Linked DNA regions of Saccharomyces cerevisiae S288C. Each later gene encodes a partner of the first gene's protein in a complex. Each region holds a gene or a part of one and is shown in the gene's direction. Other genes may lie near its edges. The genes, in order: TFG2 and TFG1.

The links.
Region 2: the proteins of TFG2 (region 1) and TFG1 are in contact, whole or in part, in a cryo-EM structure (PDB 7UI9), measured with the Saccharomyces cerevisiae proteins. Residues at the interface, in NP_011519.3 of Saccharomyces cerevisiae: Leu57 (codon at 1,836), Asp58 (codon at 1,839), Leu59 (codon at 1,842), Leu61 (codon at 1,848), Arg66 (codon at 1,863), Gln67 (codon at 1,866), Val68 (codon at 1,869), Trp69 (codon at 1,872), Leu70 (codon at 1,875), Val71 (codon at 1,878), Arg72 (codon at 1,881), Leu73 (codon at 1,884), Met75 (codon at 1,890), Ala78 (codon at 1,899), Trp81 (codon at 1,908), Arg82 (codon at 1,911), Arg84 (codon at 1,917), Asn85 (codon at 1,920), Asn86 (codon at 1,923), Leu87 (codon at 1,926), His88 (codon at 1,929), Gly89 (codon at 1,932), Gln90 (codon at 1,935), Glu91 (codon at 1,938), Leu92 (codon at 1,941), Gly93 (codon at 1,944), Lys94 (codon at 1,947), Ile95 (codon at 1,950), Arg96 (codon at 1,953), Ile97 (codon at 1,956); in NP_011702.1 of Saccharomyces cerevisiae: Pro95 (codon at 2,147), Asn96 (codon at 2,150), Glu97 (codon at 2,153), Tyr98 (codon at 2,156), Asn99 (codon at 2,159), Glu100 (codon at 2,162), Phe101 (codon at 2,165), Pro102 (codon at 2,168), Leu103 (codon at 2,171), Arg104 (codon at 2,174), Ala105 (codon at 2,177), Ile106 (codon at 2,180), Pro107 (codon at 2,183), Lys108 (codon at 2,186), Glu109 (codon at 2,189), Leu111 (codon at 2,195), Asn113 (codon at 2,201), Met114 (codon at 2,204), Arg115 (codon at 2,207), Thr116 (codon at 2,210), His117 (codon at 2,213), Leu119 (codon at 2,219), Lys120 (codon at 2,222), Phe121 (codon at 2,225), Lys125 (codon at 2,237), Lys126 (codon at 2,240), Ile127 (codon at 2,243), Asn128 (codon at 2,246), Pro129 (codon at 2,249), Val130 (codon at 2,252).

The regions. Positions count from the first base shown.
Region 1 is NC_001139.9:503,844-507,526, reverse strand, and holds TFG2 (transcription factor IIF subunit TFG2), read left to right. Parts: upstream 1-1,667; coding exon 1,668-2,870; downstream 2,871-3,683. Other genes in the region: ECT1 (ethanolamine-phosphate cytidylyltransferase), read right to left, coding at 1-558; mRNA splicing protein PRP18, read right to left, coding at 702-1,457; PEX31 (peroxisome biogenesis protein), read right to left, coding at 3,201-3,683. UniProt on the Saccharomyces cerevisiae protein: TFIIF is a general transcription initiation factor that binds to RNA polymerase II.
Region 2 is NC_001139.9:865,910-870,681, forward strand, and holds TFG1 (transcription factor IIF subunit TFG1), read left to right. Parts: upstream 1-1,864; coding exon 1,865-4,072; downstream 4,073-4,772. Other genes in the region: tyrosine--tRNA ligase TYS1, read right to left, coding at 427-1,611; HGH1 (Hgh1p), read right to left, coding at 4,323-4,772. UniProt on the Saccharomyces cerevisiae protein: TFIIF is a general transcription initiation factor that binds to RNA polymerase II.

The DNA.
Region 1 (3,683 bases):
GACATTGTCCAAATCCCTCTGAAAGACATAACAATGTTTTGAAACGGCATCTTGGGCGACAGAATAGAAACTCAATTCCTGGGTGGTGGGATAATAATCAGGATGAGTCGGTGGCAAAGATTTTTTCGTCAATATTCTATGTATAATCTCGGTAGTACTTACGCCATATGTTCTTTTAACTACCTTGAAGCGCCCCATCTCTTTCACCAACTTATAGCAGTCTTCTCCATTAGCATCTATGGTGATATCATCACCATGAACAACATATTGGCACTGATATTTATCCATCCAATTGGGATCTGTAACATATGGCGCCGCTTCAACCACTTCCGAACACCACCTATTTGATCTAGTATGCTCATATCTTTCTGAAGAGTTCATTACTGGTGTTCCTTTGTTATGCTGAATATCTTCATCGGTATGCACACCACAGAATAGTTTACCATTTTCTTTTGAAACTGTTCGACGAGCCTGCAAAATGGCTCCCGCATGCCCATGATGTGTGAAATCAAAGCAGCCGTCTATCCAAACTTTATCCGGATCTAAGTTTACCGTCATCCAGTCAGTATATTTCAAGTCCCGATCCTGTAAAGCATTTGTCTCTGGAAAATTGAACAAAGGCTATCAACATCTGCATTCTTGCTTCTTATTTTGGCCGCATGATATCGTGCCACGCGATAACGAAAACAATAGTTCAACAATTAGGCTAAGCTATCGTGGTTGCTGGTATACCATTCTTCAAAAGTTATTAATCTTTTAATACTGGTAATCCATAATCGCGTTCTTTCATCAATCATTATGTTAGCAGCATTCCGGCCTCCTTGAATTTTCGAATGTGCACTACGAGCATGAATGCCTACGCTAGTAACACCAATAGGCCAGGCCACATTGCCGATACTGAGTTTCATATAGGACTGAACGGCTAAATTTATTTCTTTAGGTTGTTGTAAATGATAGAGAACGGTCGCAAGGGAAATAAGTAAATCCGGGGCAAGCTGGTTCCTTCGTAGTTGCAGTAGGAGTGGAAAGAGTGCTTTTTTAGTGTCTAAGAACAGCTCCGGATGATAAGCTTCCAAAGACGCCTTCCAACGAGATAATATTTCGTGAATATATAAATTACATTTCATTGACAAAAGAGGTTTTCCTTCAGTAGAACCAATTTGTGATGGATCAATGATTACAGAGATGGTTTTGTCTTGAGCTATCGCTTCTTGTATCCTTTCTGGCCGATTTTCTAATTTGCTAATGGTGGTCCTAATATCGTCACTCTGATTGTCTGACAGGTTTTCTTCATCTGTACTTTCTTGTTCTACCTGTCGCGGTGTTTCGTCTATGTTTGCGGATTCATGTGGCTGGAATTTCTCAGTGCATGGTGGCTGAACACCTTTAGAGTTGGCCAGCTCTTTCTTCTTCTTAGAAATTTCACCTTTTAAGATACTGGCTAGATCTAGGTCCATTTTATGCTCTTATTACTTGTAGAGGAAAAAACATTGAAGTTCTTTCCATTGGGGCCCTTTCCAAAGGTCGATTCTCTTCTTAACTTTTTCATCTTCCCTTGCGCGAAATGAATAAATTATCAGGCTTGAAATTAGAAGAATAAGACATATGCTGTTGGCTTCAACGCATAACGCAATATTAAGAGTAAAATAGAAGACCAACTTAACACCATGAGCAGTGGTTCAGCAGGGGCACCAGCACTTTCTAATAATTCCACGAACTCTGTCGCGAAGGAGAAATCAGGTAACATTTCCGGTGATGAGTATCTTTCGCAAGAGGAGGAAGTTTTTGACGGTAATGATATTGAGAATAATGAAACCAAAGTTTATGAAGAATCCTTAGATTTGGACTTGGAACGTAGTAATAGACAAGTCTGGTTAGTTAGATTGCCCATGTTTCTAGCAGAGAAATGGAGGGACAGAAACAACTTGCATGGCCAAGAACTGGGTAAAATTAGGATAAACAAGGATGGGAGTAAAATCACACTTCTATTGAATGAAAATGATAACGATTCTATACCGCACGAATATGATTTAGAACTTACAAAGAAAGTAGTAGAAAATGAATATGTTTTCACAGAACAAAATTTAAAGAAATATCAACAACGTAAAAAGGAGTTGGAAGCAGATCCTGAAAAGCAAAGGCAAGCTTACCTGAAGAAGCAAGAACGTGAAGAGGAACTTAAGAAGAAGCAGCAGCAGCAAAAACGTAGAAATAATAGAAAAAAGTTTAATCACAGAGTTATGACAGATAGGGATGGTAGAGATAGATATATACCATATGTGAAGACGATTCCCAAAAAAACCGCCATTGTGGGTACAGTTTGCCACGAATGTCAGGTTATGCCATCAATGAATGATCCTAATTATCACAAGATTGTTGAACAGAGAAGAAATATTGTCAAGCTTAATAATAAGGAAAGGATCACAACTTTGGATGAAACCGTTGGTGTTACGATGAGCCACACAGGTATGTCCATGAGGTCAGACAACTCGAATTTCTTGAAAGTGGGGCGTGAGAAGGCCAAGAGCAATATTAAATCTATTCGTATGCCAAAGAAGGAAATCTTGGATTACTTGTTCAAGTTATTTGATGAGTATGACTACTGGTCCTTGAAGGGGTTGAAGGAACGTACTAGGCAACCTGAAGCACATTTAAAGGAGTGTTTGGATAAAGTTGCCACTCTAGTGAAGAAGGGCCCATATGCATTCAAATACACTTTAAGGCCAGAGTATAAAAAGTTGAAAGAGGAGGAGAGAAAGGCAACCTTAGGTGAACTAGCTGATGAGCAAACAGGTTCCGCTGGAGACAATGCGCAAGGAGACGCGGAGGCTGACTTGGAAGATGAAATAGAAATGGAAGATGTCGTTTAGTTGACAATCAGATTTTCTTCATTAATTTTATATTTACGCAGTTTCTTGAGCCCTATATATACTCTTTTTAAAATTTACAGTTTTGTTTAATTTATTATGTCTCTATTAGTTTTGGCTATCTGTACATATGTATTTAGATGCATTGAAGTTCCGTAAAAGAATGCTTGCTGGAATAAGAGACTGATGGAGAACTTGCCATAACCGCGCAGATACTTTAAAGCACAAGATTGAATTTGTGCTCCATGCAGCCAATGAAAGAAACTCTGAGATTGCTGTGTGCCCTTGCACCGACCAGTGTGAACGTTGTTGTCCATATGGGGCATGCACTCATTATAGAGAAGGAGACATTGAAACATCAGATATTTGTATTAATTTGCTACTGTCCGAGGAAGGTATGATATGCACTTCATTTGCTGTACTAAATGACACTTTTCTTTTTCTAACTCTATTATTTTCTTCACTCTTCAGAGCATGAGAATTCGGTGTAGCTTTTTCTACAGTGGGCTCATCGTCATACGTTGTTGTTACTGTTGCAGTCCTGATCCACCTCCTTCTTCTTGTGTACTTTTTATATGTGTCCGTTGCAGAGGGATTATTCCAGGTGTTATCATAATATATGAAACCTTCATCTGCACCTGGCTTAACTTTTGTCTTAGCAGCAGAAGCAGGAAGTTGAATGATCCCATCATTTGTTAGGTCAAGCATCCAATCTTTATCGTGCCATTCCCAAGCCATTCCCGACTGCTCCTCTGGTAAAGTAAACACTTCTGGGCTTGGAGAAGTATTTAGGAATTCATCTGTCCAAGATGCGCG
Region 2 (4,772 bases), 360 kb from region 1:
GCAATAAGAAGGAGGGGCAAAGAAAGCAGGATGCTACTATTAAAATAGTTTGCTTTTGTTAAATGCCCAGTTTCACGCTATAAGTATGCAAAATTAAAGAATAAAAAGCCCAATGAGGAATAAAGCAGTTTTATTGAGGTGAGACTAAAAGGGTCTAGCAATGAAAACAATATATGTTTCCTTTTTAAAATGTACCAAAGTCTTTATACTCGCTCGTTGATGTACTGGGCGTTATCAAAACTGTTTGCCACTGGGTAGTTGCCTTATGGTCACTATCTGCAAGTTAAATTCAATCGCAAGAGGAAGAGAAAATAAACCGTCGCATCACTTTTCTACACTTACCCGGTTATTAATTTTATAACGTTTATATGATATATCTTTTCTTATTTATTATATTATGAATCGTGAAAACGGATTAAGCTATGCTTACAATTTGGTTTCCTCTAGTTTCGTGGCAATCTCGTTGGTCTTAGTAGCGCCTGGGTACTTAGTACCCTTATTCTTTGGTTTCTTAGCCTTTTTCGACTTTTGTGGTGTGGCAACTGGATAACCCTTTTCGGAGGCCTCTTGAAATTCCTTGTTGTTGGCAAATTCTTGTCTGATTGGCTCCAATAGCTCGTTGATAGCGTCAGCAACACCAATTTTTAGATCAGGTGGGGACAATTTTTCTTCTTTAAAAGCCAATTTCATTTCTTCGAAGGATTTGTAGGTAATTGGACCACCGAACTTTTCTGGTCTATCAATGAAGAATTCGAAGTGATTTGTACCAAACTTCAATTCTTGGATTGGTGCAATGACATATTGGACAAATGACAGTAAACCATTCTCTTCGACGTTACCGGGGCTACAAAATGCACTATTGATCTTTTTCTTAACTTGCTTTGGTTCTTCCAAAAGGTCGATTTTTGAATTCGGATCAGAGGCAGACATTTTACCACCTTGAGCCAAACCTGGAACCATAGGGTTCATTAAATGTGCTCTTTTCTTGTAGCCCAAACTTGGTAAATTTTCTTCCGCTAAGACAAAAATTTTTCTCTGGTCGACACCACCAAATTGGCAATCAACATCTAAGAATTGTTCGTCCAACGCTTGCATTAAAGGATAGATAAGCCCACTCAATAATGGATTGGCGACTTGCTTGACAACATCAGCGCCTGCCCTTTTAGCATCGTTTTGTGAAACAATGTTGGATAATCTAAAGATATCCATGGTATAGTCTGGAGTTAGCTGGTAAGAAGAGCCAACAACAAATTTTAGCTTTTCAATTGGAACATTGATGCTTCTCAAGATAGCTTTGATGGTCAATTCATAGTATTTGGCCCTATAGTTCACCACTTCCAATGGCGCCTTCATGTTGTCCAAAAAGGCGTGCAAGTCTGCTAAAAGAACAGTCACTTCACAACCTGCTTTCAAGAAATCAGCAAGCTTGGTCATAGGAACAAAATAACCACAATGAGGTCTTCCAGTGGGCGCGGTACCCCAGTATAATTTCAAATGTCTCTTTTGTACTTCGAGAACATCTTTGATGATTTGTGGGTTCAAGACTTCTTGCAAGTTCTTGGTAATGAGACCGAACGCCTCATTAGGGTCAACCGTGGCAGCAGAGGACATGTTATCGTCAATTAGAGTATGCGGTTATGGATGCTAATCTCTTTTTGACAATGACTAATTTGTATTCTGAAGAAAGAACAATTAATTTTCATAAAATTTTTCTACTTTGTAAATGTTCGAGTTCCGTTCTTAGTGATGCTCGAATAAGGACCTTCTCGCCTCCATGATAAAATAAAAATTATGATAGTAAGAAGTATGGATGGTTCGAAAGGTTGAAGAATAGCTAGGGAGGCCTATTCGAGTAAGCGCAAGGATGTCCAGACGCAATCCACCAGGCAGTAGAAACGGGGGAGGTCCGACGAATGCCTCTCCCTTCATTAAAAGAGACAGAATGAGAAGAAATTTCCTGAGGATGAGAATGGGTCAAAACGGCAGCAATTCTAGTTCCCCAGGCGTACCAAATGGAGACAACAGCAGGGGATCTCTTGTCAAAAAGGATGATCCTGAGTATGCTGAAGAGAGAGAGAAAATGCTTTTGCAAATCGGTGTCGAGGCCGATGCTGGCAGGAGCAATGTTAAAGTAAAGGACGAAGATCCTAATGAATATAATGAATTTCCCTTAAGAGCTATTCCAAAGGAGGATTTAGAAAACATGAGGACACATCTTTTGAAGTTTCAGAGTAAAAAAAAGATAAACCCTGTAACAGACTTCCATCTTCCCGTAAGACTGCATAGGAAGGATACGAGAAACTTGCAGTTTCAGCTAACAAGAGCAGAAATTGTTCAAAGGCAAAAAGAAATTTCTGAGTATAAAAAAAAAGCAGAGCAAGAAAGAAGTACTCCTAACTCGGGTGGTATGAATAAATCAGGAACGGTCTCGCTCAATAATACTGTTAAAGATGGGTCTCAGACACCTACTGTTGATTCAGTTACTAAAGACAACACGGCCAACGGTGTGAACTCCTCCATTCCTACTGTAACTGGCTCTTCTGTCCCTCCTGCTAGTCCTACTACTGTATCCGCCGTTGAAAGTAATGGACTGTCAAATGGTTCAACTAGTGCAGCTAACGGTTTGGATGGCAATGCATCTACAGCGAATCTAGCTAACGGAAGGCCGTTAGTGACAAAACTAGAGGATGCAGGCCCAGCTGAAGACCCTACTAAAGTTGGAATGGTCAAGTACGACGGAAAAGAAGTGACTAACGAACCGGAATTTGAAGAAGGAACTATGGATCCACTAGCAGATGTGGCACCAGATGGAGGCGGTAGGGCCAAACGAGGAAATTTGAGAAGGAAAACTCGTCAATTAAAAGTTCTTGATGAGAACGCCAAAAAGCTGAGATTTGAGGAATTTTATCCATGGGTTATGGAAGATTTTGATGGGTACAATACATGGGTGGGTTCTTATGAAGCAGGTAACTCAGATTCTTATGTCTTGTTAAGTGTAGAAGATGATGGAAGTTTTACCATGATTCCTGCTGATAAGGTTTATAAGTTTACCGCAAGAAATAAATATGCTACTTTGACCATTGACGAAGCAGAAAAAAGAATGGACAAAAAAAGTGGTGAAGTGCCACGTTGGTTGATGAAGCATTTGGATAATATAGGTACAACTACAACTAGATATGACAGAACAAGAAGAAAGCTTAAAGCCGTCGCTGATCAACAAGCTATGGATGAAGATGATCGTGATGACAATTCAGAAGTAGAGTTAGATTATGATGAAGAGTTTGCCGATGATGAGGAGGCACCTATTATAGATGGTAATGAACAAGAAAATAAAGAATCAGAACAAAGAATCAAGAAGGAGATGCTGCAAGCTAATGCGATGGGGCTTCGTGATGAAGAAGCTCCTTCCGAAAACGAAGAAGATGAGTTATTTGGGGAAAAGAAGATTGATGAGGATGGTGAAAGAATTAAGAAGGCATTACAAAAGACAGAACTTGCAGCACTATACTCATCGGATGAAAATGAGATCAACCCATACTTATCTGAATCCGATATTGAAAACAAAGAGAATGAATCGCCCGTTAAAAAGGAAGAAGATTCGGACACTCTATCCAAATCCAAGAGATCTTCTCCAAAGAAACAGCAAAAGAAAGCTACAAATGCGCATGTGCATAAAGAGCCAACTTTGAGGGTGAAAAGTATTAAAAACTGTGTCATTATCTTGAAGGGGGATAAGAAAATACTGAAAAGCTTCCCAGAGGGAGAATGGAATCCACAGACGACAAAAGCTGTAGATAGTAGTAATAATGCATCGAATACAGTGCCTTCGCCAATCAAACAAGAGGAAGGCTTGAATTCTACAGTGGCAGAAAGGGAAGAAACTCCAGCGCCTACAATAACAGAAAAAGATATCATCGAGGCTATTGGTGATGGCAAAGTCAATATCAAAGAGTTTGGAAAGTTCATCAGAAGAAAATATCCTGGCGCAGAGAATAAAAAGCTAATGTTTGCCATTGTAAAAAAATTGTGTCGAAAGGTTGGCAATGACCACATGGAATTAAAGAAAGAGTAGGTTAGTTTATAATGTTATGTACTTAATAGGTTATTTAGTTTTCGTTCTTTTCATTCTTTCCTTTTTCTTTCCATTTAATCTTATGTAGTTACATTATACTGTCATTTTAGTTGCAGTAAGTATACTTTTTTATCTAGTCTTTTTTTCTGCCTTTTTTTTGAGAAAAGACTCAGAATTCTACTAAACTCTAATATATTGTTATTTCTGTATTATACAATTCTATGCTATGTGAACTGTCCTTGAAAGTGACCTAGGCCACTTCGACAATTTCATCTTCTTCGTCGTCATCTTCTTCTTCTTCACTCTCCTCCTCTTCTTCCTCTTCCGCATTCTTTGATGGCATCTCTTCCACTGCTCCCGCACCTGGCTCGCCTCTCATTAACATATTAACAATTCTGTAACATAATTCACCAATATCTTCATTCTCAACGTTTTTATGCAGCTCCCTCACTAGTGGATAAACGGACTTGTCTCTTAAGTATTCTCTTCCAGCATGCGTTGTACATAGCAAAAGAATACTTTCTAAATGACAGCATATAATTGCAGGAATCGGGTCTCTTTCCTTGTCCTCTGGTAATAATTGAAGTTCATCTGGTAAATTGAACATATCTTCCTCATCAATTTCAGAATCTTTAGCACTAGCAATAGGTAGCAGGATGTAAGGCAACAAGTTTATTTTTTCATCTTTGAGTAACCTTTC